Notamacropus eugenii: one gene and its partners. The protein of the gene in region 4 interacts with the protein of the main gene of each other region in a pairwise test. Links are inferred from orthologs where the notes say so. Each region holds a gene or a part of one and is shown on either strand. Other genes may lie near its edges. The genes, in order: ESR2, VDR, RARA and SRC.

Region 1 (7,953 bases), about 120 Mb from region 4:
TACATAGAACTAATGACTTGACCAATGACAAATTCAGCTGGAATTTGAATCCAGTTTTCTGACTTCAAATCCAACAGTCTTTCTATTACACTTTGGTTTTCTTATTTTGTTCATAATAGCTAATATTTTTCAATGTAATGTATGTAGTTTATGTTTACAAAGAGCTTTATATAATACTAGGTGCTATATTTGCTAAATGCATTAACTCCTCAGGGTTCTATGGGGCAGAACAGAGCAGGCATTATTTCTATTTAACAGATAAGTAAATGAGACTCAGACACATTAAGTAACCCATCTAAGGTCTCAGAACTAGTGAGTGACAGACCCACAGATTGAAGATGGGTCTTCTAATGAGGCCAGTGCTCTTTCTCCCATATGACACTGCTTCATAGGAGAGCACAGATGAGGTGCCAGCACTCCCAGCCCATTCTCTATTTAAACCTGTGCTGTTATTAGTGCCATGAGGAGCCAGAAGTGAAAAGGTAGCAAGAAAGGGGTAAGTGGGTTGTTGATAGTTCCATCCTCATGTGTACACAAATTTGAGAGTTTTCCATTGCCTAGGATGTGTTCCTCCCCAAGTTACCTTTTTTTTACCTGCTAGATGCCTTATATTACTTCTCCACATACTTTCTTGGCCACTTAGGACTTGTCATTCTTCTTGTCTTTAAAATTATAAAGAATATAAATAGGTTCCCCAATTGATAAATGGTCAAAGGATATGAACAGGCAATTTTCGGAAGAAGAAATTAAAGATATCTATAATCATATGAAAAAATGCTCTAAATCACTATTGATTAGAGAGATGCAAATCAAAACAACTCTGAGGTACCACATCACACCTATAAGATTGGCAAACATGACAGAACAAGAAAATGATAAATGCTGGAGAGGATGTGGGAGAGTTGGAACACTAATTCATTGTTGGTGGAGCTGCGAGCGCATCCAACCATTCTGGAGAGCAATTTGGAACTATGCCCAAAGGGCTACAAAAATGTGCATACCCTTTGACCCAGCAATATCGCTACTAGGACTGTATCCCCAAGAGATCATAAAAATGGGAGAGGGTCCCACATGTACAAAAATATTTATAGCAGCACTCTTCGTAGTTGCCAAAAACTGGAAGTCAAGGGGATGTCCATCAATTGGGGAATGGCTGAATAAATTATGGTATATGAATGTAATGGAGTACTATTGTGCCATAAGAAATGATGAACAAGAAGACTTCAGAGAGGCCTGGAAGGACTTATATGACCTGATGCTGAGTGGAAGGAGCAGAACCAGGAGAACTTTGTGCACAGCAACAACCACAGTGTGCGAGAGTTTTTTCTGGTAGACTTGGAATTTCGTAATAAGGCAAGAACTTCTTAAAAAAAAAAAAAATCCCAATGGTGGTTCTCTAAGGCAAAATGCCTTCCACACTCAGAGAAAGAAATATGGAAGTCATTCGCAGAATGTAGAAGATCATGTTTGTGTATGTGTATGTTTTTGTGTATCGTTTTGATTTGTTATATGATTTCTTCCATTTATTTTAGTCCGACTACATAGCATGACTATAGTGAAAATGTACTCAATAGGAAAGTATATGTAGAACCTATACAGAATTGTATGCAGTCGTGGGGAGGGAGGGGGGTAGTGGGGAGTAGGTGTGGGGGGGATAAAATCTCAATTGTATGGCAATGATTGTTAAACATTAAAAAATAATAAAAAAAACGCAAAAAATAAAAAAAAATAAAATAAAAAAATACAAAAAATACAAAAAGAATATAAATAGGGTAAGTGTAGACTTTGTTTACCAAATCTTAAACTACTAGAACTAGAGGTTACCACTTGATGCTCTTAAAAATAAATTAGGTCAAACACCCAATTATGTTAAAGATACCTTTCTCTAAGTTACTCAATAGAGAAATCTAGGAGTTATTATTTCATGTCTCTCTATGTCTACTTCCACTCCCATCACCTTAATTCAGATCCTCATTATCTTTTATTTCTCCCTGCCTCAGGTTCTTGTCCCCTGTAATCTAGAATATCTATATCTATCTATCTATCTATCTATCTATCTATCTATCTATCTATCTATCTATCTATCTATCTATCTGTCTGTCTGTCTGTCTGTCTGTCTGTCTGTCTGTCTGTCTGTCTGTCTATCCATACATATATGTGTGTGTGTGTGTGTGTGTGTGTGTGTGTGTGTGTGTATATATACACACACACATATCTGAGCAAGAGTATGCTGGCAAATGTTTAACAACTGGCTCTCCAAAAACAAACAAATGAAAACAATGCACAGAATATACTTTTAAGATTAATTTGTATTACTAACATTTTCTTCATCAGTTTCCTAAGTCTAGACGAGCAACAAAACAACAAATCTAGCCCTGATTTGTAGCACTTACTGATTTCTAAGGTGTAAATGCTGAAAATTTTATACTCAATATGTTACCTACAACACACTGATCATGATACTCTCCTACCCCCCAGCAAAAAATTATATTTATAGGCTGCTTAAGTTTTGCAAAAGCTTTCTTCATAACAATGCTATAAGGTGGGTAGTATAAGAATTATTCCCATTTTAGAGATAAGGAAACTGAGACTGTGAAAGGATAAGTTTTTGTTCAGTTGTGTCCAATACTTCATGAACCTGTTTGGTGTTTTCTTGGCAAAGATAGTGGAGTGGTTTGTCATTTTCTTCTCCAGCTCATTTTACAGATAAGAAACTGAGACAAAGAGGGTTAAGTGACTTAACACTCCAGGGTCACACAGCTAAGTGTCTGGAGTCAGATATGAGCTCATAAAAATGAGTCTGTCTGATTCAAAGCCCAGAGCTCTATCTACTGAGTCATCTAGTAACCTCAAAGGGTAAGTGTCAGGAATTAAAACCAGGTCTTCTGACTCCAGGTCGATATTCTTTCTAATATGTCATATAACCTTTCAAAATAAAGTAACAAAAAAAAATCAATAGCTAACTATTGTTACCTAACAAGCCTAAGTCTCCTAACCTCATCACTGAAGGTCCTCTATCCTCTGGTCTAACCTATCTTTCCAGGTTTATATTACTCCCACATGTATACCTTTTGTTTCAGCCAAAACAGACCCCTCATTGTCCAAAGAAGTTCTGTGTTTTGCTGCCCCAGTGAACGTTTCTCATGGCATCCCTTTTTCAAATGCTATCACATTCTTCAAGTTCCATCTCAAAAGGCCACACCTTCTATGAAGTCCTCCCTGTCACCTCTATAACCTCTAACTTTCCAGTCCCTCCTTTACCTTCTCATAATACTTTGTGCCTTGTTCATATATTCACTGAATTCTATTCACTGAATTCTATTCTATTCTATTCTAATTTATCTTCATTACTAGCCTGTAAGCACTTTGAGAACAGTAACCCTACCCTGAACATAGTTGGAACTCAGAAATGAATCAAAGGCAAGGAAGGATTTCTCTGTGCTAACTAGGAAATTAAAACTAATTGAAAAATGTACATCAAGAGATGGATGATTTTTTCTAAAATTATATGTTTAAGATAAGAACTTAGAGATTCATAAATAATAGTTCTATATTACACTATTAAGGGAAATTAGGTTGCTTTAGGTTAGATACTTAATGTCTTAGGATCAGATGCTACAAGGAACCTATGATTCCTTTCATTTTGCAATGGAGAAGTTGAGACCTGAAAAGGGATCTCTTTTAGATATCACAAAGTAGGGGAGCCTGTATGTAGGAAGCAGATGATAGCAGTTTCAAACTGCATCAATTAGTAGAATTTTTTCTGGGCAAGTCAGGTTGATTTTATTCTGAGCAGCAAATAGACAGTGAAGTCAGGTATCCTGATTCCAGGCCCAGGACTGACTCCTTTCTTTCACATTGCTGTGGCTGGTATCACAGAGGACAACTTCTAAACAGCTGTTTGTCTCTTTGGAAGAGGCAGTATTGGATTATAAATAGATGGACCACAGGTCTGATGCCTTCTGACATTTATGCTTGGGAACATTTGTCCTTCCTTCACAAAAGTGCTTGGGATCGCACCCTTATCGCATCACCACTTATACCATGCATAGAAGTGTGCACAGATTTAGAGCTACAAAGGACCATCAAAATCATTTAGTTCAACCCTGTCATTTTTTATAGATAAGAAAATTGAGGCTCAAGGAGGTTAATTGACTTGTCCATGGTAACATAGAAGAACTGAGTTTAAATTCAGATTCTCTCTACAAATCCAAGGCTCTTTCCATAGTTCCTTGTCATTTGCTTTTGAATGAACACATACAACCATATTCTTTCAAACTATAGTGAAAAGAACACTTTTGTTGTTGTTCAGTCGTGCCTGACTCTTCATGGCCCCGCCTGTGTTTTTCTTGGCAAAGATATTAGAGTGGTTTGCCATTTCCTTCTCCAGCTCATTTTACAGATGAGGAAACTGAGGTAGATAGGGTTCAAGGACTTGCCCAGGGTCCCACAGCAAGTAAAGATCTGAAGTCAGATTTGAACTCAGGAAGATGAATCTGTCTGACTCCAGGCTCACCACTCCTAGCTGCCAGCTAGCTACTCCTGAAAGAACTTACCTCTGGAAGAGAAGTACCTGAATCTGATTCTTAGATCTGTTATCTGTATCAGCTTGGGCAAGTCACCTAACCTATCTGGGACTCAGTTTCTTTGTCTGTAAACACAAAGTTGTTGAACTGAGTAACCTCAAGGTCTCTTCTAGCAATATATGATTAATGGAGTGAAGTATTTTAGCCCTATCCCCTAAACAGACTTGGTTAGTTGGATCTGAGACACTCATTGCCACCTTTCTTCTCCACCCACACTCAATGAACAAATTCTGTTTTATGAGGGGTGGGAGAAGGAGGGATCTAAAATGCCACAAGGGGGCAGCAGCTTCCACACTGGAGGGTCCTGAGGCTGAGAAGAGAATTCCTTCATAAGCAATTGGGGCTGGGGCAGCTTCTGGCGTCTCAACTCCCAATAGAATCAGCTGTACTACTGCCTTATCCAGCTGCAGTCTGGAATGGCTGGTCTGATCTTTGAGACTCCTGTAACTGATTAGTGGAGCAAGCACCATGCTCCCCTGCTCCTTTCTTAACCTGTGCTTCAGGTGCCTGAGAGCTGGACTCAGCTTCAACCCCTTCAAGTGTATGTTGTATCTTCAGAAGCACGGACCATCCCGCCTGTTTTTTATTGCAGGGAACTATGGTTTCTTGGGAAATGCTTATAACACCAGGAGCCAGAAACCTGCATTGATTCCTGGCACAGATGTGGTTCACAAATCTCAGTTGCTCCCCAGCTACCTCCAATAGTCTTGGAAGGATCCGAATAAGACTACTGGTCTTAGGGTCCCCCTAAGACTATTGGAAGTGGCTAGGGGAGCAGCTGAGCTGTCCTAGGGTCCCCCAAAGGATGATGCCGGCTCTTTAGAGTCCTGCCCAAGCTGGAGGAAAAAAGAAGCAAAGTGTTTCTGGAGAGAAAGGTGGGCTTACTCATTTGGGGGCGTCAGCTTCAATTCCCCATTGCGATTATTTGCAAAGGGAAAGAGGAAAGGGTGAGGGGAGAGGGGACATGAACAACAGCTGGTGAATTATTTGTGATTTCGTTTTTCTTAGGCTTTTTTGACTTTTTTTTAACCACTTGATGCTCGAGAAAACGAAAGCTGCCTTTCCTGAAAACGCGTTGCTTTGAAACTTGTGTCAGGAAGGAGGAGGAAGAAACTCTACCTTCCTCCCTTGGAAAACAGACAGCAAGAGGGTCCGCTGTAGGTGTAATAGACTCGTACTGATGACTTGGTATCTTCTTGCCCAGTAAAAACGGTCACTGACTAGCTTGTGCTTGTGGGGATTGGATGCGTCCTACAGTCTTAGTAGCTGCGAGGGATCCCTCCTGAAGCTAAAAGCCAGCTTTGGGGAGACTGGGATTCCTAGAGCATTGAGAATTCTTGCAAGATAACCATGTGCATGCTTAGTCTGGCCAGATTGTTCTGAAGAAACGGATTGTTTCCCTGCAGGTAGGTACAACAGTTGATTCAGAATCTAATTGCTTGGATTAATTTTTTGAAATTCAGGAGTGCAGAGGCACTAGCATCTAGAGAGCAGCAAACAAACAAAAAAATTTAGGAAACTAATAACTGCTGCGTTTATGGCAGAGGAAAGTTAATCTCTTCTACTGGTATGTGCCATCTGTGAAATAGAAACACTTTTGTGTTGATTTGTACACAAGAATTTTTAAAATTTCCTTCTGGTTTTTCCTTCTAAAGTATCTTCTTCAGGGATTCTCCACTTGATTTAAATTTGAAAAAAAAAAAAGAATGCAACACAATATTTTTCTCTGGGGATGGGGAGATTTGTGGTGGGGTGACTGGTCAGATGGTAGTTGTTCTAGCTGAATTAAATCAATTAGTGATATTTCCTGTTCAAGGGTAGATGGACTTTAGTCTGAGAGGTTTGGGCAAGATGTGGCTGTTTTATTGGTTGAGAAGGAAGACAAGCTTTAAAGAAATAGGGATTTATCAGTGGTCTATTTCTTACTGGCAAACTGAAATTGATAGAATGAGAATGTCATTCAGGTGAAAATATTTTATTTTTTGGGAAATGAAAGTGAGGTTTGTAATGGTTTCTTTTTTGACAGGAGGAAATCATAGTTCAGGACAGTCAAATGGTGTACTTTTTTAAAATGAAACTTTATTTACCTTGCTACTGAATAATATCACCCCTTGAGTTTATGTCCGTCTATAACTATCTATTCATGTAGATACATAGATATGTGTATCTCAGGGTCTTATTTAGCAACCTGAAAAGATTTCTTTTGGAGAAATTAATTATCTTGCTAACTATCTTTAAATGTCTGTTTTTGCCCTGTACACATGAGATGAGAATAGGAGTAGTGAAGGGAATGCTTGATTTGATCGTAAAGGTTAACTACATATTCATTGAACTCATATACTTTGATTAGGGATAGTCTTTTTTCTTATCAGCACTTACCACACTTAAGCACTTAAAAATATTCTATCTTATAAGTGTACTTTGGTTATAAAGAAACTAATCTTTGTGGTCATTATCTTGCCTTTTTTCGGAGAAAAGTTTGTGTTGTTTTAGAATCTAGTTGCTGGAAGGAAGGGGGAAGTTATATATTTAGTGCATCAACAAGTGTTACGAATACAACAAGCCTTTGGATTTGGCTCTGAGGGGTACTTTTAGTTAGGAGAAATGTCTGCCCTTCAGAGCTTTATTTCACTTATCCTGGGCTCATATTTTGTGCTGCTTCTGTCCATAAGAGAAAACGCTTCATTTTTGTTGAATGTGACATTTTAGGCTTTAGTATTATGAATTTTGAGAAAATGTTTTAGCCATTAATGTTTAAAGTTATGGACTTTGGGAAAATGTTTAAGCTATTAATAACATTATAGGGAAATGACACCTAGCATTAGTTGAAAATTCCCATTAGGACATTAATTTTTAATTACTCATTAAATTAAGTTGCTTTTGTTTAAATCATTAGCTTCCCTGAGTTAAAATATTATGCCTTTTGTTGTTCCCTGAGTTCTATAATCCCACTGCAATCCTGGCATTTTAACCTTAATTTCATACCATTTGATATAAAGAAGGCTGCCTGAAGCTGTATTTAGTTGCATGGTAGAGAGCAGACAGTGGTTGAAAAATGGCAACTTTTAGTGGAGAACCACAAGGTTAAAATAAATGATGTATATGTTTTGAAATGACTTAAGTATAAAATACATATATATAATTTTATTCCTATTAATCACACTTTTTATTCCTTTTAGCCTAATTTCATTCACTGTGTTAATGCTTGGACTTCCGAGTGGTACTTTCAGAACTAGAGGCCATTGTAAGAAACACAGATTTGGGGGATTTTATGTACAGTTTAAAACAATGCATTATGTTTTTATTTTAACTGATTTGTTTGTTTCTAGTATTTCTGCAAATCCAAGTTATTTTCATGTACAGTGAA
Region 2 (7,401 bases), on a different chromosome or scaffold from region 4:
GCTTAAGGAGGGAATAAAATGCACACTCAATTTGATATGAAAATCTATCTTACACTACAAGAAAGTAGGGGAGAAGGGGATAAGTGGAGTGTGGGGGAATGATAGAAGGGAGGGCAAATGGGAGGAGGGAGTAATTAGAAGTAAATACTTTTGGGGAGGAACAAGGTCAAAAGAGAGAATAGAATAAATGGGGGGCAGGACAGGATGGAGGGAAATATATTTAGTCTTTCACAGCATGACTATTATGGAAAACTTTTGTATGTATATATACACATGTATAGCCTATATTGAATTGCTTGCCTTCTTAGTGGGGATGGGTGGAGAGGGAGGAAGGGAGAGAAGCTGGAATTCAAAATTTTAGAAATGAATGCTGAGAATTGTTTTTGCATGTAACTGGGAAATAAATACAGGTAATGGGGTATCTATCTTGGCTTACAAAAAAAGACAGAAGATGGGGATAAGGGAAGGGAGGTATGTGATAGAAGGGAGGGCAGATTGGGGGAAGGGGTAATCAGAATGCACGTTATCTTGGGGTGGGGGGAGGAGAGAGATGGGGAGAAAATTTGGACCTCAAAATCTTGTGGAAATGAATGTTGAAAACAAAAAATTAATTAATTAATTAATTAAAAACAAAAGAGAGAAAGAATAGATCGTCGACTTGAGCAGCCAACCAAAAAACATTTAGAAAAGTAACCAAAAAAGCCTTGCAACTATACACAAAGATAAAAATTCTGAAAGTCAAAGATATAAAATTGAAAACAAAAACTCCACTGAATTGATAATAAACTAGAAAATGAGCTTTAAAAGAATGATAAAATAGATAAACTGTTGGCTGATCTGATTTTTAAGAAAAGTGGACCAAATGAAAAATATCAGTAAGAAGAAATCACAACAAATGAATAACGGAAATTATTAGAAATTATTTTGCCTAATAGTAATGGAGTGAATGGGCAGCTAGGAGTCCATGTGGATTGAGGGCTGGGCCAGAAGTCAGGAAGACTGAGTTCAAATCTGGCCTCAGGCACTTACTAGCTATGTGACCCTGGCCAAGTCACTTAACCCTGTTTGCCTCCATTTCTTCATCTGTAAAATAAGCTGGAGAAAAGAATGGCAAACCACTCCAACACCTTTGCCAAAAAAACCCTAAATGGAGTCACAAAGAGTTGGACAGGAAATGACTGAACAACAAATTGAGTCAGTATTATCTGTGATGGGGAAATGCTGTAGGGGCCTTTCCAATAAGATCATGCTTGAGGCAAAAATGTTCATTATCACCTCTGGTATTTGACCCAGTACTAGTCATTTTAGGTATATTAACAAAACAAGAAAAGAAAATTTAGGCAATGAACATAGGCAAAAAAAGCACAATAATCACCTTTTTTTCCCTTAATTTTTCGCAAGGCTGCACGCCAGACTTCTCTAGCATTCTACCTTACCAGTTACCTTCTCCTCCCTCAAACCCATTTTTCAGATTCCTTTTACCTGTTGCCTTCCACCATTAGAATGTAAGTTCCTTACGAGTGGAGACTGTTTTCTTTCTTCTTTCTATCTGCATTTCCTGTACTTAGCACAGTGCCTGGCCCAGGGTAAGTCCTTAATAAATGCTTATTGACCGATGAGTGACTGACTGCCTATGAAATGATAGTTTACTAGAGAACCTTAAAAATTCAACTAATAATTAACTGAAACAATAATTTCAGCCAAGTGGGATATACAATAAACTCACATATATCACTGGAATTTGTGTATATGAGCAACAAAACCCAAAAGAAAAAGAGAAGGAAATGAAAATTCCATTCCTAATATCTATGCATAAGATATCTGGGAGTCCACATTATCAAGAAACACACAGGGATTATGTGACTCCAAAATTCTCTATAGAGAATTCTATGAAGATTTAAAGACAAACCTAAAAACTGAAGCTCATAGTTGGATAGCGTCAATGTAATAAAAATTACATTATCTAAATTAATTTACTTATTCAGTGCCATGCTAATCAAATTTTTTATTGTTGTTGACTCTTTGTGGCCTTTGCGGGGTTTTCTTGTCAAAGATACTAGAGTGATTTAATATTTCCTTCTCCATCTCCATTTATCAATAAGGAAACTGTCTAGTAAGTGTCTGAGACCAGATTTGAACCCAGTTAGATGAGTCTTCCCGACTCCAGGCCCTGTCCTCTATCCACTGCATTATGTATCTGTCTTCAGTATCAAAATACTAAAGGGTTACTTCATAGAACTAGAAAAATCACTAACAAAATTCATTAGAAGGAAAGATCAAGAACTTCAAGGGAAATAAAAAAGTCAAAAGGAAGGGAGCCTAGCAGCACCAGATCTTAAGCCATACTAGAAAACAATAATTATGAAAATTATTTGGTATTAGTTTAAAAAAACAGGAAGACTGATTGGTCAAACATGATACACCAAATCTAGAAGCAAACAAGCATAATAACACTGTGTTTGATAAACCCCTGGACTCCAAGTTCAGGACTTGCTAGTTGGCAAAAACTGCTCTGAAAACTAAAAACTGCCCAGCAGAAATTAGATTTAGGCCAACATCTGAAATCATATACCAGTATAAATTGCAAATGGACACATAACCTAGACATAAAAGGTCACATCATAAGGAGCAAGAAAGGAGATAGTATTCACTGTTATGGATGGAAGAAGATTTCTTGAGTAAATAATGAATGGAGAAAATCACAAGAAATAAAATGAATATTTTTTATCATATGAACTTTGAAAAGCTTCTGCACAAGCAAAATCAGTGCAATTTAAATGAGAAATGAAACAGTTAACTAGTAAAAAAAAAATTTGCAGAAAATTTCCCTCATAAAGTTCTAATGTCTCAGATATATAATAAATTGATTCAAATATGGAAGAAAAAGAGCCATTCCCCAAGAGATAAGGTTATAAACAGGCAATTTCCAAAAGCAGCAACCAATAATGATATGAAAAAACATTTGATATCACTAATATGAGAAGTGAAAATTAAAATAATTCTCATTAAATCAAATTAAAATACCCCATACTCAACAGATTCACAAAGATGACTAAAAAATGAAATTGAGCATTTTTGGAGGCGATTAGACTCATTAATGCAATGTGAATTGATCCAACCATTCTGGAAAGAAATATGGAATCATAACAACAAAAAAACACTATCCATCCCCTCTGATCCAGTGATAACATTGGGAGAAGACTGAAAAATCAGAGACTGCTAATTAGGTATTTTACATTTCACTTCCTCTTGACATTGTCCAAATACCCCCCCAGGATAAGTCTTCCAGGCTCAGCCCAGTCCAGTGAAGGTCTTCTCTGACGCAGCAGCTCCTGCAGCTGCCCATCAGCTCTAACCCCGGGGGACCCAAGTCCTCCAGAGCTCTAGAACTCCCACGGTGATGGATTAGAGGTGCCCAACGGAACACACACGTTCAGGCAAGGCCAATGGATTTGTTTTTCACTGGACCATGTTTATTTGTTATAAGGGAAGGCTTTGGGAAAGAGGGAGAGTAAGAAGGAGGTTAGTGATAGCGATGGCAAAAAAAAGGTGAAGAAAGTATGAATAACATATTTTTAAAAGCACAGAAGAGAACCGAAGGAGGTTCTGGAGGAGACGTAGATAAATAGGACAGCTTTGGAACTATCGATGAAATTTGTTGCGTACTTTTAAAAAGCTATATACATACATACTCTACAAAGCTATATATATATACTTCATATATAACACATCTTCCCCCCTTGTAATATGTGGAATTGTTAGTATTCGATGGTGTTAGGATAACAAAGTTAAGTTTTAGACTAACAAGTTCAGAGTAACAAAAACACTCAATTAAAATCCTGAAGTTAAGGAGCAGCATGCTTGCGCTGGCACTTGGGCCAGCCTCCAGAGGACGGTTTACACTGTCCTTTGTTTTCCTCTCCACAGCCGGTGGAAAGAACAGATCTAACCCCCATCTTCTGCACGACGCGCGCTGACAACCTTCCCAAGGCGCAGACCCATCCAGGTGTGGCGACGCACCTGGAGAGTGCTGCGGACTGTACCACTGTGAGGTGCAGGGGGGGGAGCTGTCCACAAAGTAACACAAAAAGGCCAGAACGGGCATCTTCAGAGTCACGGTGACTGAGACGACATAATACAGAGGGGGGGACTCCGTCTTGCTCCCAAAGCTTCGGGGATGCACGGAATAGGTTCCCCCGCACCCTCCACGGGAGAGTGACTGATTCGAAACTCAAGATGGTGTCGGAGCAGATTGAGCTCAGCCTGCCCCAGCCACTGGCTGGGGAGGACTGGGACCCAGGAGCCGGGCCAAAGTGATGGGGCGGGTCCGGAGGCAGGGTCAGAGCCAGGGGGCGGGGCCAGGTGCGGGGCTGTCTCTTCTTGTCAAAAGGCAGCCTCCCAGCTTGAGCGGTTCCGATCTCCCAGCGGGCGTGTGCCGGGGCCAGGTGCGGAGCAAGGACCGGGACTGGGCTCCGAGCCGGGACCGGGACCGAGACTGGGAGCGGGTTCGCGGTGGAGATCTCGAGATCTCGGGGACCGAGGAGGAGGGGGTGTACGCCTGCCAGTGTGTGCGCCCCTGGGCCACTGAGCGAGGCTGGGAGGTGAGGGCACCGTCTGAGCGCCAGGCTGTGGTGCCACGAGTCAGGCTGGACAGCGGGCTAGCTGGGAGAAAGAACGGAGTCCTGGGAGCCTTTGCCCAGCGAGGAAGTGGACTGTAGGCTTGAACTGACTGGGCTCCCAAGTCAACAAGCGAAAAAGCGTTCGAGTTGGAATTGGGGAGGCAGCGTGGGGTGCTTTTTGGGAGAGGGTCTGAAGGAAACTGATGACTATAGGGAGTCCTAGAGTCCATCTGGGCGCTTTTGATCTTTGTCCATTCCCCCGGGGAATCTTAAGACGCGCAAGAAGGGTCTCTAAGGCTCCTATCCTGTAGAGTTTCTTAAAGTAGAAGGTTCTACAACTATCATTATTGTACGGTGCCATTTAACGAAGGACGTGCCTCCAGAGTGCGCGTGTGGTCGAGGGGATGGGGAGCTTGGGGGGGCTGTAGAACGGCTCCTTTCAGTACCTCTGGGACAGTGTCAGAGTGCGGAGGGGACTCGGGAGCTGCTTCTGAGAGAGGGAAATGAGTTGAAGTGAGAAATTTCCGTGGGCGAATGAGTGAAAGCCATTTGGGAAAGTTTCTGTGAAGGAACTGCGTGTGGGGCTTGAGGGAGTTGTGAAGAGCGGGGTCTGCCCAGGGGAGAGGGTCTAGCCCTCTGGCTAATAGAAGATCAAGGACAAGGCCCTTGATACCTGGGGAATGAGTGGGGTGGAACAGGCAGGGTGCCCCCAGCCTAGCTGGGTCTGAGCCCTTCCTGGTCCTCCTCCTCCTTTTCTCTCCTCCTCCGTGCGGTGAGTGAGTCAGCCTCCTGTCTGGGCTCAGACACAGCCAGGGGGGCTAGAGCCTGGGTTAGATCTTCTTTGAGCTTTGCGGAAACACTCTTGGGCAGAGTTCAGTTCTGCCCCCAAATCATTGTTAGGTGGCTGTCTTCCATGAGGAGGTGAGTATGGGCTAGTTAGGGCAAAGAAACAGGCATTTCTAAGGAAGCAATGGCCCTAAGGTTTTCTGGGATGTTTCTGAAAGGAGCCAGGAGTGACCACCCCCAGGTGTGACTACATGTTTTTCCCATTTTTTTCTCAGGATTTGGTGGTGGGTCCTAGTACTCCAGAGCTGTCATTGAAATGGTCCAGCTTTTTCCTGCCTACCACCTCACCCCTGAGTGATCGCTTCAGCCGATGACCTCAGCCGGTAAGTTCAAAGTGCAGAGACAAGGGCTGTGCCTTTCACCAAATGAGTTTGGAGAAGGACAAAAGAGGGGTCATGCCTTGAGCTGGAAGAAGAGATCTGGACAGCCAGGCTTCTTCACCTTTACTCAGGGCTATCCATGAGAGGGGTGGAACTGGAACCCTTTACCCTCTTTGTTGTTGTTCTCGCTGCGCAAGTGTAAGAAATGACTTATTTCTTCTGGAGGAAAAATGACAAGATTGTGATATAGTCAGATTACCCTAGAGAGAGTAGTCCTTAAATATGTTTTTGGTCTTCTTTGGTAGAAGGGGATAGAGATCCCCCTAAGGGGATAATAGGGGCATCAGAGTTTCTTCTTTGGCCCCAGACCCTGCTGCTTCCCTTTTTCAATTCATTTGAGGAGAGGCCTTAATGCCTCATTGGGCTATGCGGATGACTCAGACTGTAGAAAGTTAGGAAATTTACAATCCATGTTTCAACCAGATCTCAGGCTTATGGGTTTGGTGAGTCTTTGGGTCACTAGTGGTGTGAACTTCTGGAGGAGACAAAACTTTGAGCCCTTCCAAGCCTCTAGTCTGGGAAGAGATTAAAGGGGAGAAGGGAGAAAGTCCAGTGGGTTTACTTCATTGGGACTGGATTTAGGTTGTTCTTTATTTGTGTAAGTAATGTGCAGGATTAAGATAATTTATTTCTTGGAATATTCTCACTTTGCCTTAGGATTGCTCTTTCCTTGATATCAAATCCTTTATAAAAATAAAGTGAAACTCTTGAACTCTCCCAAAGCACAAACCCAATGCTTCTCCAGGGCTAGACGTGTAAAATTTGGAGAATGATACTGGGCCAGAACAAGATAGTTCCATCCCCCCAAGGTAGAATGGAGTAGTACGCAGTTCATTAGCTTACTATGTTCTGTCCCATATTAACCCTTAGACCTAGATACTGGCCCAGGAGAGTTCTTCTAGAACCAATTCCAACAACCTCCTAGTTTGAGCAGGCTATTAACTTGGGTCCCTCTGAGCACAGAGTCAAAGAGTTAGGGGGACCTAGAAGTCTGAGCTGGGACAACAGTCTAGCTAATAATAACACTCCATATTTATGTAGTATGTAGTATTCTACATGTTATCTCTTGTGTTCCTATGAAGTAGATAGGACAGGTATTGTTGCCCTGTTCTGCAGATAAAGAAAAAGGCTCTTTAGTGATTTGTTCCAAGTTCGGTACTTTTTCTATTATATCAAGCATATTTTTGTTCTCCTGACAGCCACAGTATGGAAGAATTATGAGGCTTTATACTTGGGCCAGAACTGAACTGGTTTCTAAAGGCAGTAGAGAGTAGAGGACATGTCCTGAGAAACCTGAGGTCAAATTTTGGACAGTTACCATGGGACCTCAGACAAGTCACTTTATCTCTCTAAACCTCAGTTTCCTTATCTATAAAGTAGGTTTAAGTTATACTAACTACCCTGGAAAGAAAAGGCTTTGTAAACCTTAAAGCAATTTCTAAATATGAATTGTTGTTTCTTCCTCGAGCAATAAAGATTACTTTTCTAGGTAGTTTTCCCACTTGCTTCACTGGCCCACTCTCTTTCCCTCCCTTTGCATAGTATACATTTTTTCT
Region 3 (7,507 bases), on a different chromosome or scaffold from region 4:
GCCTGTAGAACAAAGTCCTTATATCACTCTAGTAAACCAAATATAAGCCTACTGGTGGGAGTCATGGGAAGATACAGGAGAGAGGAGTCCCAGGCCGCTGAGTTTTTGAGTGGAAGCAAGGAGGGTACAGCTCAAATCAGTTCAATCCTCTCAGCCTTAGAGGAGGTGAACATCCTGTGAGGAACCTGTTGTGTGGGGCTAAAACATGAGAAGGAAGTCAAAGGGAGAGGAGGTCCATGGGGTTGACTCTACAGGAGTAGATGACATAGCAAACTATTCTTGTGCCTGCCGATTCTCTGAAATCCCCTTGACACTGCCCCCTGTGTCTCCTCCCTCTTATTTGCCACTGCCAGGTGGGGCACAAGAAGGGTTCAGGATATCCTGGCACTGTGGGCTTGTGGTTTTCCCGCCCCTGCTGCCCACATTGAGGGGGAGGAAGGTACCCTGTGGGTAGCCTACGAAGTATAGGAGTGAATTGGATGTGGGTGTCTTGTTTCCCTTCTCTGCCTGTGTTGGGCCTTGATTCTCTGAAGATGCCCTTCTTACCCCAGGAGAAAGAGGTGATGCCATGCTTCTAGGATGAGGTGGGGTGGAGTTGTAGGACCTAGTGAGTGAATACACACAAACACACACACACACACACACACATACACATACACACACACTCACTGCCCTTCCTGGACTCTCAGGTACTCTGTGTGTCGCCTTGTCAGGTCCTCCTACCTCCATCTCCACCCCTCTGCCCAACCCTGTTTAGTTGGTCTTACCTAGGCTTTTGACAAGATCTCTGTGACCTTTATCCCTGCCTCTATTGCTTCCTCCTCCCCTTGGCTGGAAGTCCCTCCCTTGAGAACTTTAAGTAACTTTGCTCCAGACTTTATATCATAGGCCAAGTTGTGTTGGAGACAGGCTGTCAGTCCTGACATGGAGGTGGTTGGGTTGGCGGGAAGGAGAAACTGTGGGCTGAACACAGGCTCTATTCCTTCTACATGAGAGTAAGGGGGATGCCTCTAATACCTGGGCAGTACCTAGTGGTGAAGTTCAAGGTGGCTTGGGGTCTCCCCCTTGGGAGTGGTTATGGGATCTCTGAGAGCTGAGTCCAGGTTGGGCCCAGAGGGTACCTTTTGAATTGAGATCTGTCTAGCTGGATATGTGGGGTACACAGCTACTGGAATGTCCTGTGTTTGAGAGCTTACTGGAGATATGGGGGCCTAAGATGGAGAGGTGATGCCAGCAAATGATAAGCTCAGAATAAGCTAAGTTGGATAAGACAGGGTGTAGTAGGATTCCCCTTTGTCAGAGAGCCCCTCCCTTAGTTGTCTTAGCCTGAGCTTATCTGTGGAGGCTGAGCTCAGGCCTTGAGAGAGTGACCATTTTCCAGGCCTTAGGGAGGGTAGGCTATGCCTAAGTTTGTGTGATCATCAGTGTGTGTGGTGGGATGGCTGGACTTAAGGGAGAGGGGCTTTTAGGACCTCTCTTGGCAGAAGAGGCAGTTGGAAGGTCCAGGCTGGTGGTAGAGAGCTGGGAGAATCTAAAGTGGAATAAACTCGTGTGTGTGTGTGTGTGTGTGTGTGTGTGTGTGTGTGTGTGTGTCCATGTCCATGTGGGGTTGTATGTCTGGGTGTATAGACAGAAGTAAATAATTGTGTTCATTGTATGGCATAGCAATAGTTACCTCCTAGCTACACACACACACACACACACACACACACACACACACACACACACACACACACACACCATTCTCTTGGAAGTGAATGTGTTTGTTTTTAACAAAAATTTGTATTAATAAATTTTATTTTTGAAACATCATACAGATCCCTAGCCTTCTCCTAACTGAATCCCCACAACTAAAATCTTTGAAAACAGTGAAGTAAAAGAACACAAAAGAGCAGTTTGGGCTGAGTGTATACGAACATGATTTCATTTTTCCCACCCAAACACATGACTCTCTGTCTGCCTGAGGTTCTGGGTCACTGTCTCCTGTCATTGGTGAAGCTTACCCATCTGGAGAACTTCCATAGAGGTCCTGGGTGTGGCAGATTGGCTGCTGACTGGGTGGGGCTCCCTGGGCCTCTGATGTCACCCTCCTTTACTGGCCTGGGAGGACTTCATCAGAGACCTGGAAGTGTGTTTCTGTGGTCAAAATTAATAATCATGGTAATTAATAAGCTAGGGAAGCAAACTCTATCCCCAGGTAGAGGGGACAAAAGGCTACATTTCTCTCTTCCTCCTCCTTTTCTCCCCCTTTCCCAGGGGCTTTTTTGCTTACTGAGGAGCTGAAAGACCCTTTTAATGGTAATTGCTAGCCTTACCAATAAATTTTTTTGTAGGGGGGGAAGGCAGTTGGGGTTAAGTAACTTGCCACATGGTTCATAAGTATCTGAGGCCAGCCTTGAACTCAGGTCCTCCTGATACCTAATTCTAAGACTGGTGCCCCATACACCGAGACACCTAGCAGCCCCACCTTACCAATAAATTGAATTGTGAACTTGATACTTTGTGCCTCAGTTTACCTTAATTTCAGTTGTGACATCCATCCCCCACCTCCTCACTTCCCCACTTCTGCCTGTCTCTTCCTAATGTCTACTTGGCTCTCACTACCACTCTACCCTGCATTATTCAGCTGGGACAGTGGACAGTGAGGGGGAAGAGTTGCCAATGGCATCCCTGGCAGGTAGGCATTACTTAGCTTGGTATTTGGGCTTGGTGGTACTGCATCAGTACCCTTTGCTCCCCAAGGTATAATGTAGCTTATCCCCTTGTTCACTGGGGTTGTAGACCTGCTCCTACAGACTGTTCTTTGCACATGCCCTGGTGTGGCCTTTGATGGCTGTCCTAATGTGTTTCTCTTTATCTCTCTCCTTTTGTCTCTTTTCTCTCCATCTCTCTGACTCCCTCTGTCTTTGTGACCTTCCTTCCTTCCTTCGAAGTTGGAGTTAAGTAACTTGCCCAGGGTCACACAGCTAGTAAATGTCTGAGGCTGGATTTGAACTCAGGTCCTCCTGACTACAGGGCTGCTGGTGGTCCATCTACTATGCCATCTAGCTGCCCCTGTGACCTTTCTTAACATGTGAGGAAGGGTAAAGACTGGACTTATAATCAGAACACCCAGGCACAAGTTCTGGCTTTGTCATTTACAAGTTGTGTGACTGTGGACAACTTATTTGCCAGCCCCAGGCCTCAGTTTTCTCATCTGTAAAAGTGAAAGAGTGAAGCTAAAAACACAGAAAGCCTCTGCTTCCATTGTACTCACTTAAGGTTTGGGGCAGGGAATGTCAAAATGACCCCAGAATCATAGAATTTTACAATTGGAAGGGACCTCGATAGCCCTTTAGCCTGATTCCCATGTAAAAATATATACCAGTAAATCCCTTGGCTCCCTTCAGTCAGTGCTTGAGGACTTCAAGTGAGGAGATACTTACCTTTCCTAGGTGACCCATTCTTCTCCTGGGCATCCTTAATTGTTAGCATGTTTTTTTTTCATCAAGCCTGTGTTGGCTTCTTGGCAATTTCCACCCATTGCTCCTGGTTCTTGCCTCTGGGGCTAAGGACAACAAACATGACCCCCCTTCTACACACCAGCCTTCAAATATTTGAAGACGGCTCTGTGGCCCACCTGCATCTTCCTCTTCTCCAGGCTAAACATCCTCATCCCCACCCTATCCCCACCCATGCAGGGTGTTAGGTCCCTGGATTTTGGGGCTGGGGTGGGGGAAGTGGTGTAAGAGGCCCCTAGGGTTGCTGCGTCACGATTCTGAGAAGTACCATGCTTTAGGGAAGCAGCTTCTCTCCCCTTCCCCTCCCTCGGTTACCTCCACCATCCCCACGCTTTCTCTACATCTGTGACCTTAGGTAACCCTTCTTTGGGGAGATCTCTAGGTCCAGCTGTGTTTCCCTCATGTCCCCTGCTGATCTCCAGGGACCCCGCCTTCAAGGCACAACAGGCCTTTTGGCCACATTAGGGTGAGAGGTGTCTCCTAAAGGTTTAAGTTCTGCTCTTTGTGCGAATGTTCTCACCCTCACCTCTTCCTCTGCAGTGTCTGGGCCCCACTCCCAAGTTGTCTGTGCCAGGCAGGCACTGTGCCATCTGTCTGCTTAGCCTGGTGTCACGGGAAAACCTCCAGCTGCCCAGGTGGGGGGAGCCCCGTAGAGAAAACCCCTGTGCCCTGTTCTCTGTGCCTACTCACCTGTCTTGTCTTCTCCTTTTCAGCATCAGAAGACATGGCTTCCCCAGCAGCACCAGCGTCATCAGAGTTCATCTAGGTGAGGATACCTCGCTCGATACTCTGCCTAACAGCCAGCCGTGGTGGGTGCCATTCAGGAGGCTACCTCAGCTTTCCAAGCCTCATTCCAGCTTATCATAGCAGCCGACCTGAGCAGCGCCCTCCCCTCCCTTTGCCACCTTGCCCCTGGTTTGGGCGGTGGCTCCAGAAGGCCAAGATCACCCTGTGGGGTACTGCCCTCTTCAGCTGCAGGACAGGAAGAGGGGGTGGGTTGATCACCCACAACCCCTCCCAACTCCAGGCCCCAATGAGCTGAGAAGGGGCATTGAGAAGCCCCTCAAACCTTCCCAACTGGACTCTCTGTCTGTATCTTTGACTGTCATCAGGGCATGGCCAGCAATAGCAGCTCATGCCCAACGCCTGGGAGTGGGCACCTTAATGGGTACCCAGTGCCTCACTATGCCTTCTTCTTCCCTCCCATGCTGGGCGGACTTTCTCCACCTGGCACCCTGACAAGTATCCAGCACCAGCTTCCTGTCAGTGGGTACAGCACTCCGTCACCAGCCAGTAAGTTGTGCCACAGAGTGGGAATGAGGGGTGGGGATGGGTGGGATTGAGGGCTCAGATATCACAGGAGAACCTGGTGGTTTATCATCAGAGCTCTGTGAGGGGATGGTTTGTGGTGGTTTTGTTATATAAAAACACTGGGAAGGATGGGGTGTCAGTCAGGGAGTGACAAAGAAAGAGTGGCTAATAACGGACGTAGCTGTTGGGGGAGCTAAGGGGTACACTGGATAGAGCTCTGGATTTGGCATCAGAAAAAACTCAAGTTGAAATCCTGCCATAGACACTCGCTGTGTGACCTTAGGAAAGTACTTAAACCTCTCTCAGCCTCAGTTTCCTTATCTGTAAAATGGGAAGAATAATAGCACTGACCTCACAGGGCTATTGTGAGATTCCAGTGAGATCAGATGTGGAAAGTGTTCTGCAAACTTCGAAACACTATATGAATACTGTTTATTACTGTTGCCTGTTTTACAGGGAATGTCCTTCGAAGCTTGCAGGGGCCCCATCTAGGGATGGGAAAGGAACCTCTATTATAATTTGGGTTGCTGGACTCTGCCAAAGTATGTGCTAGGCTGGAGGGCTGCAGAAAGGTTAGGGCCATTTGTGTTGCGTTCTCGGCCCGGCTTTCCCTCCTTCCACCTCACTGAGGATCTTATAAATAGCTTGGTTGGCAGCAGACAAAGGCCCCTGGTAGATAAACAAACCTCTCGACATTTGGCGGGAACAGTATTGTGACCTGGAGAGGCAGCCACATGCCCTCCTCCCTCATCCTTACCCTCAGGGTCCCCTGTACCAGGTGTCTTTTTATGAGGGTACCTAAAGGGTGTAGGAGGAAGGCCAGCACAGCGCGCTTCCCCTACATACATACCTTGCTACTAATTCCCCTATTTGAGTGGAGCGTGAAGGGAGGGAGGTGGTGGGTATAAACCTGGTGAGAATTGAGGTGAGCTAGGCAATGGAGGGAAGGAGCTCTGGGGACAGCATGAGGGCGGGGGCAGGGAGGAAAGCTCTGCCTTGGTCATGGGTGGGAGCTGGGCTGCAAGGAAAAGACATAGGCCCCTCCCTCTTCCCTTTTGCTCTGTCTCTGATTTTTTTCCCCCATTTCCCCCTTCCTCTCTATCTTTCCCATGAGAGTTTTGCACGGGCTAGGTGGGCGTCTCTTCCACCCCTGGCCTGTCTGAAGCCAGGTAGTGGGAGGTGGCAGTAGTGGCTGCCAGCTGGCATAGCTCAGACCAGAGGCCTGCCAGGCCTCTTACTGTAACTCTGGCCCCTAGGGCCGAGCTGGGCACAGTGCCAAGTCAGGAGGGGGAGGGATCTGGGGCCTGGCCGGGCGGGGAGAAGAGGGAACAGAGGCTGGGAGATGGATGGACAGGGCAGCTGTTGACCTGGGAAATGTCCTGTTCTCCCTCCTCCCTCCATCCCACATGCCTTTTCCCTGGCCTGCCCAGGATGAACACTGCCACAGACACCCACTGCTTCTCCTGTTGGCACCAGTGGGGCACCTGGCAACACTGCTCTCTGCTCCCTGCCCTGGGTCAATGCTCCCTTCTCTGGATTAGGGCAGTACTCGCCTTCCTAGGGTCAGGGCAGTCTCATTGTCCCTGAAGTTGACCCTGGAATGGTGCCACCCTACTTGCTCTGGCCAGTTGCCCACAGCATCTGACCTTCCCTAGAGTTCCTCCTCTGTCTCTGTGTCATTCTCCTTCCTGACTTCCCCCCACAGCCAGGGAACTTTCAGGTATCTTGTACATAGTAGACATTTAATAAATGCTTGTTGTTAAATCAATTTGAAATGGACAAATGTATCTGCCATTCTGGTGCCCCCTTCCCACTTTACTATTGGTGTTTTCAGCTTGGGGGAGGGACTACTTCTTGGTCCCCAGAGGGATAACCCAGGTCCTGCTCAGAAAGTTTCCTGAATGCCACTCTGGATATCCGCCCCCGTGCCCCAAAGTCTCCCTTCTCCCTTCAGTCCCTTCTCCCATCTCATTGTCTCCTGTCTTGTTTTCACTCTGTACACTTTGCTCTGTATGGAAGCTTTAAAGCTCAACCCCAATTGGGGAGAGAGCTCTTTTATTTTGCATCTCACCTACTCTTGCAGCCCATATGCTTTATCTGAATGTCTGGTGTTTGTCCTGAGTGGTTAAGGCCTTTGGAGGTGGGGCTGAGAGGGGGGACTGGACTGATTCCTCCTTAAGTTGGCACTGCCCCCATTCTAGGAGCTGAAATTGTAAGGCTTCCTGTTCTTGCCAGGTTGGCACTTCCATTGGACAGTGGGGCGTGTGCCCAAGTGTCTGGGGGGCACACTTTTTTCTAGAATGGGATGTGCAGAAAACTAGTGGCCCAAATCCTGGGACACTGCATAATGGGGGAATGTGAGTCTTTGGCTGGCACTAGAGAAGGACATTCTGCCTAGCCTTTGCCTCCCTTACCCCATGACCACTCCCATGCCAGCCTGGGAAGAGGTTTCCCCCTTACCCAGGAATGTTGTAAGCTGGTTCCTCTTTCTTGATGTGCACTAGGGGGTGGCTTCCGGGATCCCCGATGTACTCCCCACCCTGGGAACCATTTCCCCTGGGTGCAGGGGAGAGGGGGTGAGTGGGAAGAAAGAGGTGTGGATTTGTAATTTCCTGGTAGGGTCCCCTCACCCATACTTGGGCAATACCCTTTCCTGTTCCCCCGCCACTGCTCTTATTTTTTCCCAGGAGCCTCCT
Region 4 (7,987 bases):
CCATCTGTTCAGTTGTTCCTTTGAAGGAGTTATTTTTTGCACTTTGGTTTTGTACTTCCTTTTCCATTTGTCCAGTTTTCCCAGTTAGGTTTGTGCTTCCTTTTTTATTACTCCCATTTTCCTTTTAAATTCTTCAGGGATTTCTCATATCATATTTTAAAAATCATTGGCAAGTTTTTCTTCTACATCCCTAATTTGACATTTAAAATCCTTCTTGAGCTTTTCTAAGAATGCTCTTTGGGCTAGAGACCAGTTCATATTCCCTTCTGAAGTTTCACATGGGAGTACAGTCTCAATGCTGACCTCTTTGGTATTTGTGTTTTGGTCCTTGTCCTCATAGAAAGATTCTATGGTATTATCTTTTCTGGTTTCCTTTTTGCTCACAATGATCACCCTTTTCCTGGCTTTTAAAATGTATCTCTGTTTCTGGGGTACAGGGGGCTCTGTCTCATGGTTCTTGTGCTTAGAATTTGAGACTTTGTGTATTGTGGCCTCTGGTTCTTTCAGTTAGAAACTAGAATGCTGTAGCTTACCTGGTGCTGAGCTGGCTGGTGTGTCAAAGCAGAGGCCAGGTGAAGTCTTTCTGAGTTTCCCTGGAGTTAACTCTGGAGCTAGCTGCGTTAAGTGTGGGGAAGGGGTGTTCTGGTCACAGGAAGTCTTCTCTCCTGAGCACAGGCAGGCTCAGTAGTTGGTGGACCCCATTTGCACTAGTGTCTTTCCAATTCCTCTAGCTGTGCTGAGGCACACCTGGGGTCCTAGTGTTGGTGATTACAGGCTCCAACCCACTGGAGCTCAGGATCTCCTCCCAGTTCACTGGGGTGCTGCTGCCTAGGACAGCTTCAATCTTGCACTGATTTCTTTCAGGCACAGCAAGAAGGACCCCCCTTTGCGATTTTCCTAGCCTCACAGGCTAAGAGACTGTTTGGCTGATCTCACTGTTCCAGGATTTTTGCTGGGGAAATATTCTCTGGGTTTTTCAAGGTCAGCAAGGGCAGGGGTAGAGCATTTATCGATCACTCTGCCATCTTGGCTCTCAGAAGTTCAAGTAAGTGACTTACAGACATTTAATCTACGGTCAGATAGTCTCAGAAGCAGCTAGTGCAGTTACCTGGAGTTCTGCAGTTCTCTCTCACTTAGTGCTACTGGACTCCCCACCTTGGGCTGATAGGTTTGAGATACCACAGTGCTCCTGCTGCTGCTTCAGACTGCCCGGGGCTTCCTCCTCAGCTTTGCTATGGCAGTGTCCATGCTGGTACAGCCTGTGCACTGTGTGCCCCTCCAGCCTCGTGCAATATATCCTTCCCATTGACCTTCCAGTCTGTCTTGGGTTAGAAATTGTATTGCCAAGGCAATATTCAAAGCACTGGTGGTGACTGTGAATATGTCAGCATAGTTCTCAATCACAAAACGTAAAAGATTCTCCATATAGAAGGCAGAAGAAAAACCAGAAAGCCAAATTCCATAACCAGAAAGGAAAATCCATCATGGTGACCAAGAAATTAATTAACATGATCATAGCCTAGGGCAAAGCCATTCTTAAACTTCCTCTGCCTCAGCCAGGGCCTTCTCACTATCAACTGTCACAATATGTCAGTTGGGCCTGTGTCAGTTGGCTTGTATCCGTTGGCTTGTGTTCTTTCCCCTCTTACCTGACCCTACTCACTCACTTCCTCCTGGTTCTGCTCCACCCTTCCTGTTCCACCTCTTCAGCAAGCTCCTCCCACCACATGTGGCCCAGGCTTCCAGGCAATTTAAGTAGATCACATGGGCCTATTAATTAACGAGAAAGATCTTTCCATTTAAATTACTATTACAGAAATCTGCCATACTCTGTCTCCTATTGGATTCTGCCACTCTAAAATTTGTTCAGATTCTCTTTTTAGAGGTATCTGAAGGAATTTATCTTAGAGCTTAGGTGAGTAGTTGCTCTCACTCCACTGTCTTGGTTCCAACTGAAAGGCCTCTTTTAGGTGACATTTGAGCTGAGTCTTGAAGGAAGCCAAGGAAAACCAAAGCACAGAGGTGGGGAGGGAGAGCATGCTAGACATGGAGGAAAGCCAAAGGAAAAGCAGAAAGATAGGAGATGGTATATTCTATGTCTGGATTATAAAAGAATTAATTTACAATTGGAAGGGACCTTTCAGGCCATTGAGTTTTATAAATTTAACAGATGAGGAAAGTGGGACCCAAAGAGAATAAATGACTTGCCCAGGATCACACAATAGCAAGTAGGCAGCTGTATCCTAGAGTGGAGGGCAAAGTATAAGAAGCTTGGAAAGGCCAGCAGAGCTGCTTGTGAAAAGCTTTAAATGCCAAAGAGAGGACTTTATATATGGGGATGGAAGTGAGGGGAGGGCCTTCCATGGTCAGACCTTGAGCTTTAAGAAAATCATTTTGGAAAGTGAGTTGAGGATGGATTGGAGTGAGGAGAGATTTGAGGTAGGGAGAACAGTTAGTGTGTGTGAGAGGTAGTAAGGACCTGAACCATGGGGATGAGTATGTGAGTGGAGAGAAGGGGACATATATAAGATGTTTTGACGGTTGAATGATAAGATTTAACAACAAATTGGATATGTGGAGTGAGTGAAGGTGAGGAGGCAGAGATAACAAGGCTGCAGTCCTGGGTACCCAGGAGGATGGTTGTGCCCTTAATAGAAATAGTGAAGTTCAGAAGAGAGGACAGTTTGAGGGAAGAGATAACGAGTTCTCTTTTGAATATAATGAGTTTGAGGTGCCTAAAAGAAAATTGATTTCAAAATGTCTTAAACCCAGTTGGTGATGCAGGGAGAGATGAGTTCAGGAGAGAGACTGGAATCATCTGCATACAAATGATCACTGAACCCTGGGAAGTTGATGAGATTACCAAGTAAGACAGTATAGAGGGAAAAGAAAAGAGGGCCCAGGGCAGTGCAGGGCAAATAGACTACTTGTTGTTGTGTGAACTTGGGCAAATTACTTATTCTCTCTGGACCCCAATTTCTTCATCTGTAAAATTTATAAAATTCAAGGGTCTCAAAGGTCTCTCCCAATTCTAAATCAGCGCTTGTGTGAGCTAGAGGGAAAATTGACAAAGGAATAGTCAGTCAGACAGGAAAGGAACCACAAAAGATGAGGGTCACAAAAACCTACAGAAGAAAGAATATCATGGAAGAGAAAGTGATGAACAGTAGAAAATGATGAAGAGAGGTCAAGAAGAATTGAAGAGAGGCCTTTAGATTTGGCAATTAAATCATAGGTACTTTTGGAAAGGTTTTAGTTGAGTTATTAGGTAAGAATCCAGATTGCAGAGAGTTTAGAAGTGAGTGGAGAAGTGGAGTGAGAGATAGGGATCACCTTAAGTCCAATTTTCCTTGTTTTACTGATAGGGAAACTGAGGCTAAAAGAGGGAACATTAACTTGTCCAGAAGTATTTCCTTTCCTGGTCCTCTGTTTTTGTTTATGATGTGACCTTTTATGTCTAAATTATGTATCTGTTTGGAACTTATCTTGGTGTGTGGTATGAGATGCTGTTCTAATCTTAATTTGTCAGACTGCTTTTCCATTTTTGTTGAATAGTGAGCCCTTACCCTAATAATTGGTATTATTGAACATTAAACAACTATGTTCATTTTCTTCTACATGTTGTGTAGTTAACCTGCTCTTCCCATTGATTTTTCTCTATTTTAAAACCAATACCAATTAGATTTAATATTTACTTTTTTGTAATATAGTTTGTGATCTGGTACTACTAGGACCCTTTCCTTCTCACCTCTTTTTCATTTTCCTTTGAGATTCTTAACCTTTTGTTTTTTGGTTGTTTTTTTTTTTTATATTTTAACTCTTAAAAAGTAATCCTTTACTAGTTTGGCATAGCATTAAACAAATTTATGAAAGATTGTCATTTTTACATTGGCACAACTTAACCATGAGAAATGAATATTTCTTCAATTATTTCTGTATGGGGTACTTTGTAGTTGCATTCATAGAATTCTTGTGAGTATCTTGTTACCTGGATTCCCAGTATTTTATATGTTCTTTAGTTATTTTGAATGGAATTTCTCTGTCTTCACTAGGTTTTATTGGTACTATATAGAAAACCTGATAATTTATGTGGATTTATTTCTGTATCACTTCATATAAATCTTTTCCATGCTTTTCTGTATTTATCAGAAATACATAATTTCTTATAGCACATTCATTTACTGTAATAAATATTTCATTACATTCATGTACCATAACTTGTTAGCCATTCCTCAGTTGATGGATATCTACTTTGTTTCCAGTTCTTTGCCATCACAAAAAGTACTGCTATAATGCTCGGGGTCAGGGCCCAAGCCCCCTGGATCCCCCTGACCCACGGGCCTCTAATCTGTGGGCCCTGAAGGAAGAAGACTGGAGACAAGATGATCCAAGCAACAACCCTTTATTCAGCTGAGGGTTAGGGTTTATAAAGGCTGATCCACCAATCACATACATGCTGAGCTCATCCCATTACTTCACCTTCTCATGACTATTCCACATCCTTACATCCCCAGTAAGTAAGGAAGCTTATCTTGTTCCTGCAGCTAGTTCCTGGGTTCCCAGGCTCACTTGTAACTTTACTGTACAGGACATCAGTGTCTGCAGGAACATCAGGTTCCAGGGTCACACAGAGCTTCTGCCAGGGTGTGCGTCAGCACCGTTCCCACGGGAACAGGCTTTGCCTCTGACTTGCACCCCCTGGGACCCTCTGGTCCCCTTACACTATAACTTCCTTAGGGTATAAGCCTAATAATGGTGTCTCTGATTCAGAGCATATGGACTTTTAAGTCACTTTATTTGCAGAATTCCAAATTGCTTTTTAACATGGTTGTGCCATTTCACAGCTCCAAAAATGTTTTGTTGTAGCCTCTGTGCTGATATTTTATTTAATGATTTTTCATCAATATTCATAAGTCATGCTGGTCTATAATTTACTTTCTCTGCTTTTTTTCTCCCTCGTTTAGGTACCAAGACTACGTTTATATCATAGAATATTTTTGGTAAGATATCTTTTTCCACTTTTGTGAATAGTTTACATAATATTGAAATTAATTGTTTTTTGAATATTTGACAAAATTCAATTTAAAAGCAATTTGGTCCTGGATATTCTTTCTTTTTATTTATAGCACTAAAAAGTTTTTTTTTAACTGAAATTATGTTATTAAAATTATCTATTTTTGTTGCATCAATCTAGATATATAATACTTTTATAAGTATTCTTTCATAGCATCTAAGTTATCCATTCTGTTGGCATATAATTGGCATAATCATTTTCATAATTTCCTTTATTTTACCTATATTATGAATTTTGCTTTTTAGATTTTGATACATACTGACAATTTGATTGTACACTCCTTTTTTAAAAACTCATATTAATTAACTTAAACTATGATATTTTTTAAAATAAGCTACTACTTTTAATTATCAGTTATTTTTTTTTTGCCTTCAATTTTGTTAATCTCCTTTGACTTTCCAAATTTCTGTTTCTGTGTTTAGTTCTTTTTTTTGTAATGCTTTTCTAGTTTTTTAAATTGCATACCAAATTCATTGTTCTGTTTTTTTCTTTCTTTTGTTGATGGGCATGTTTAGAGACTTTGTAACCAAATCATACTTTATTTGATTATGTCCTGGACATCATTGTATCCTAAGATTTCTTTATTGTTTAGAGCCTTCTTCTCTTTATTCATGTTTCTGGTTTAAATTCCTGAATCAAGAAATTTTGTCAGGGTCAGTCCCTGACTGCTCCTGTACACTTGGATGGGAGAGTGGTTCCCTCTTTTGGACTTTTTTTTGGATATATTTTTAAGTTAGATTTTAATACACTGGTAGCTGCCACCTCTGCTTATAGAAAAATTAGAGAAGTTTTGAGGGAAGAGAACAGTCAGAACACATGAAAGATTACAGTATATCCATTTATCCCTAAAGAATCCCATAATAATTAGACATTGCATTCCCCAGTTGATGAATGGTCAAAGGATATGAACAGGGAATTTTCAGAGGAAGAAATTAAAGGTATCTATAATTATATAAAAAAATGCTCTAAATCACTGTTGATTAGAGAGAAGTAAATCAAAACGACTCTGAGTTGCCACATCATACCTATCAGATTGGCTAACACGACAAAACAGGAAGATGATAAATGTTGGAGAAGATGTGGGAGAGTTGGAACACTAATTCATTGTTGGTGGAGCTGTGAGCTGATCCAACCATTCTGGAGAGCAATTTGGAACTATGCCCAAAGGGCTACAAAAATGTTTATACCCTTTGACCCAGCAATATCGCTTCTGGGACTGTATCCCAAAGAGATCATATAAATGGGAAAGGGTCCCACATGTACAAAAATATTTATAGCAGCACTCTTTGTGGTGGCCAAAAACTGGAAATCAAGGGGATGCCCATCAATTGGGGAATGGCTGAACAAGCTGTAGTATATGAATGTAATGGAATACTATTGTGCTGTGAGAAATGATGAACAGGAAGACTTCAGAGAGGCCTGGAAGGACTTATATGAACTGATGCTGAGTGAAAAGAGCACAGCAATAACCACAGTGTGTGAGGAATTTTTTTGGTAGACGTAGTATTTCATTAAAATGCACAGACTTAAAAAATTTGCAGTGGTGTCTTGAAGCAAAATGCCTTCCACATCCAGAGAAAGAACTATGGAATTGGATCTCAGATAGAAACAGATCGTTTTCTTTTGTATTGTGTTTTGTTTTGTTTTATGGTTTCTCCCATTCATTTTAATTCTTCTATGCAACATGCATTTAATAGGAATGTACGTGTAGAACCTGTATAAGATTGTATACCATCTCAGGGAGGGTGTGGGGAGGAAGGGGGGAATGAAGCGGAAGAAGTGGAAGAAAATCTAAGATATATGGAAGTGATTGTCAAACACTGAAAACAAATAAAATAATTCAGTTAAAAAATAATAAAATAAAATAAATAAAGACATTGAACAGATAGCTGTTAGGGCTAACAGTAATTGCCCTTGCTGCCAATCACTGGTAATTCTTTGGAATCAAAGGATTTTTTTTTTCTTTTGGAGAGATGTTTTCTTTTTACTTCTTAAATTTAAATTCTTTAAAATTTTAAAAACATTTTGTTTTTATTCTTAACTCAAACAGCAAAAAAGTTGATTCTGTATCACAAATCACCATTTCATACCATGTTCTTTTAAAATACATATGTAATTAATTCTCACATTATGTCAAAACTGTCCTGATTATCTATATTGCTTCCTGAACTTCCTTCCATAATCTTCCGTGCATTTAAAACATTGTTGCAGCTGTCTGTTTTGAAAATCACTATTGCTTCATCTTCAATGCTCCTCCCCATTAGAAACCTCAAGAAAGAAGGGGGAAAAACCCATGTTATAAATATGCATAGTAAAGTCAAATGAATCCATATGAAGTCCATGTAATAACAATGTATTTCTCTTTCTGTTTCTTGCTTCTATCACCTTTCTTTCAGGATATGGCTAGCATGGTTTATCATAGGTCCTCTAAAGAAGTCATTGAATTGATCAGAATTCTTAGGTCTTTCAGAGTTGTTTTTCTTTATAATGCTGCTATCCTTGTGTAAATTGTTCTCTTGGTTCTGCTCATTTCACTGTGCATCAGTTCATACTATCCAGGATTCTCCACAATTATCTCTTTTTTCTTATTTTATGTTGCAATTATATTCCATTATATAATATGCCACAGTTTGTTCAGCTATCCCCTAGTTGTCTAAGAGATAATCTAAGGCACACTCTTCCCTCTCAGAGTCTAGTATTTTTCATTTTTCTTCCTTTCATTTCTTTCTTCAGGATCAGGAAGTTCTTTGGTTTGTGATTACTCCTACCCTGTTATTACTCCCTCTCTTCATTCACTGACTCGTTATCCTCACTTGTTTTTCAATTTAATTTGATGTATTTCTGCAATAAACTGTGTGTGAGGGGGTGTGGCAGTATGTGTGTGTGTGTGTGTGTGTGTGTGTGTGTGTGTGT

Evidence for each region.
Region 1: the proteins of SRC (region 4) and ESR2 interact in a two-hybrid assay, tested with the Homo sapiens proteins (2 studies listed by BioGRID). The link is inferred for Notamacropus eugenii from reciprocal best matches to the Homo sapiens genes SRC and ESR2.
Region 2: the proteins of SRC (region 4) and VDR interact in a two-hybrid assay, tested with the Homo sapiens proteins (2 studies listed by BioGRID). The link is inferred for Notamacropus eugenii from reciprocal best matches to the Homo sapiens genes SRC and VDR.
Region 3: the proteins of SRC (region 4) and RARA interact in a two-hybrid assay, tested with the Homo sapiens proteins (2 studies listed by BioGRID). The link is inferred for Notamacropus eugenii from reciprocal best matches to the Homo sapiens genes SRC and RARA.

Annotation. Positions count from the first base shown.
Region 1 is NC_092872.1:308,278,486-308,286,438, reverse strand, and holds the start of ESR2 (estrogen receptor beta), read left to right. Parts: upstream 1-4,943; 5' UTR 4,944-5,461; intron 5,462-5,594; 5' UTR 5,595-5,992; intron 5,993-7,953.
Region 2 is NC_092874.1:219,607,349-219,614,749, reverse strand, and holds the start of VDR (vitamin D3 receptor), read left to right. Parts: upstream 1-4,386; 5' UTR 4,387-4,601; intron 4,602-5,680; 5' UTR 5,681-5,788; intron 5,789-7,401.
Region 3 is NC_092873.1:355,850,058-355,857,564, forward strand, and holds the start of RARA (retinoic acid receptor alpha), read left to right. Parts: upstream 1-4,504; 5' UTR 4,505-4,615; coding exon 4,616-4,793; intron 4,794-7,507. UniProt on the Homo sapiens protein: Receptor for retinoic acid. Retinoic acid receptors bind as heterodimers to their target response elements in response to their ligands, all-trans or 9-cis retinoic acid, and regulate gene expression in various biological processes.
Region 4 is NC_092872.1:427,958,147-427,966,133, forward strand, and holds the start of SRC (proto-oncogene tyrosine-protein kinase Src), read left to right. Parts: upstream 1-4,969; 5' UTR 4,970-5,000; intron 5,001-7,987. UniProt on the Homo sapiens protein: Non-receptor protein tyrosine kinase which is activated following engagement of many different classes of cellular receptors including immune response receptors, integrins and other adhesion receptors, receptor protein tyrosine kinases, G protein-coupled receptors as well as cytokine receptors.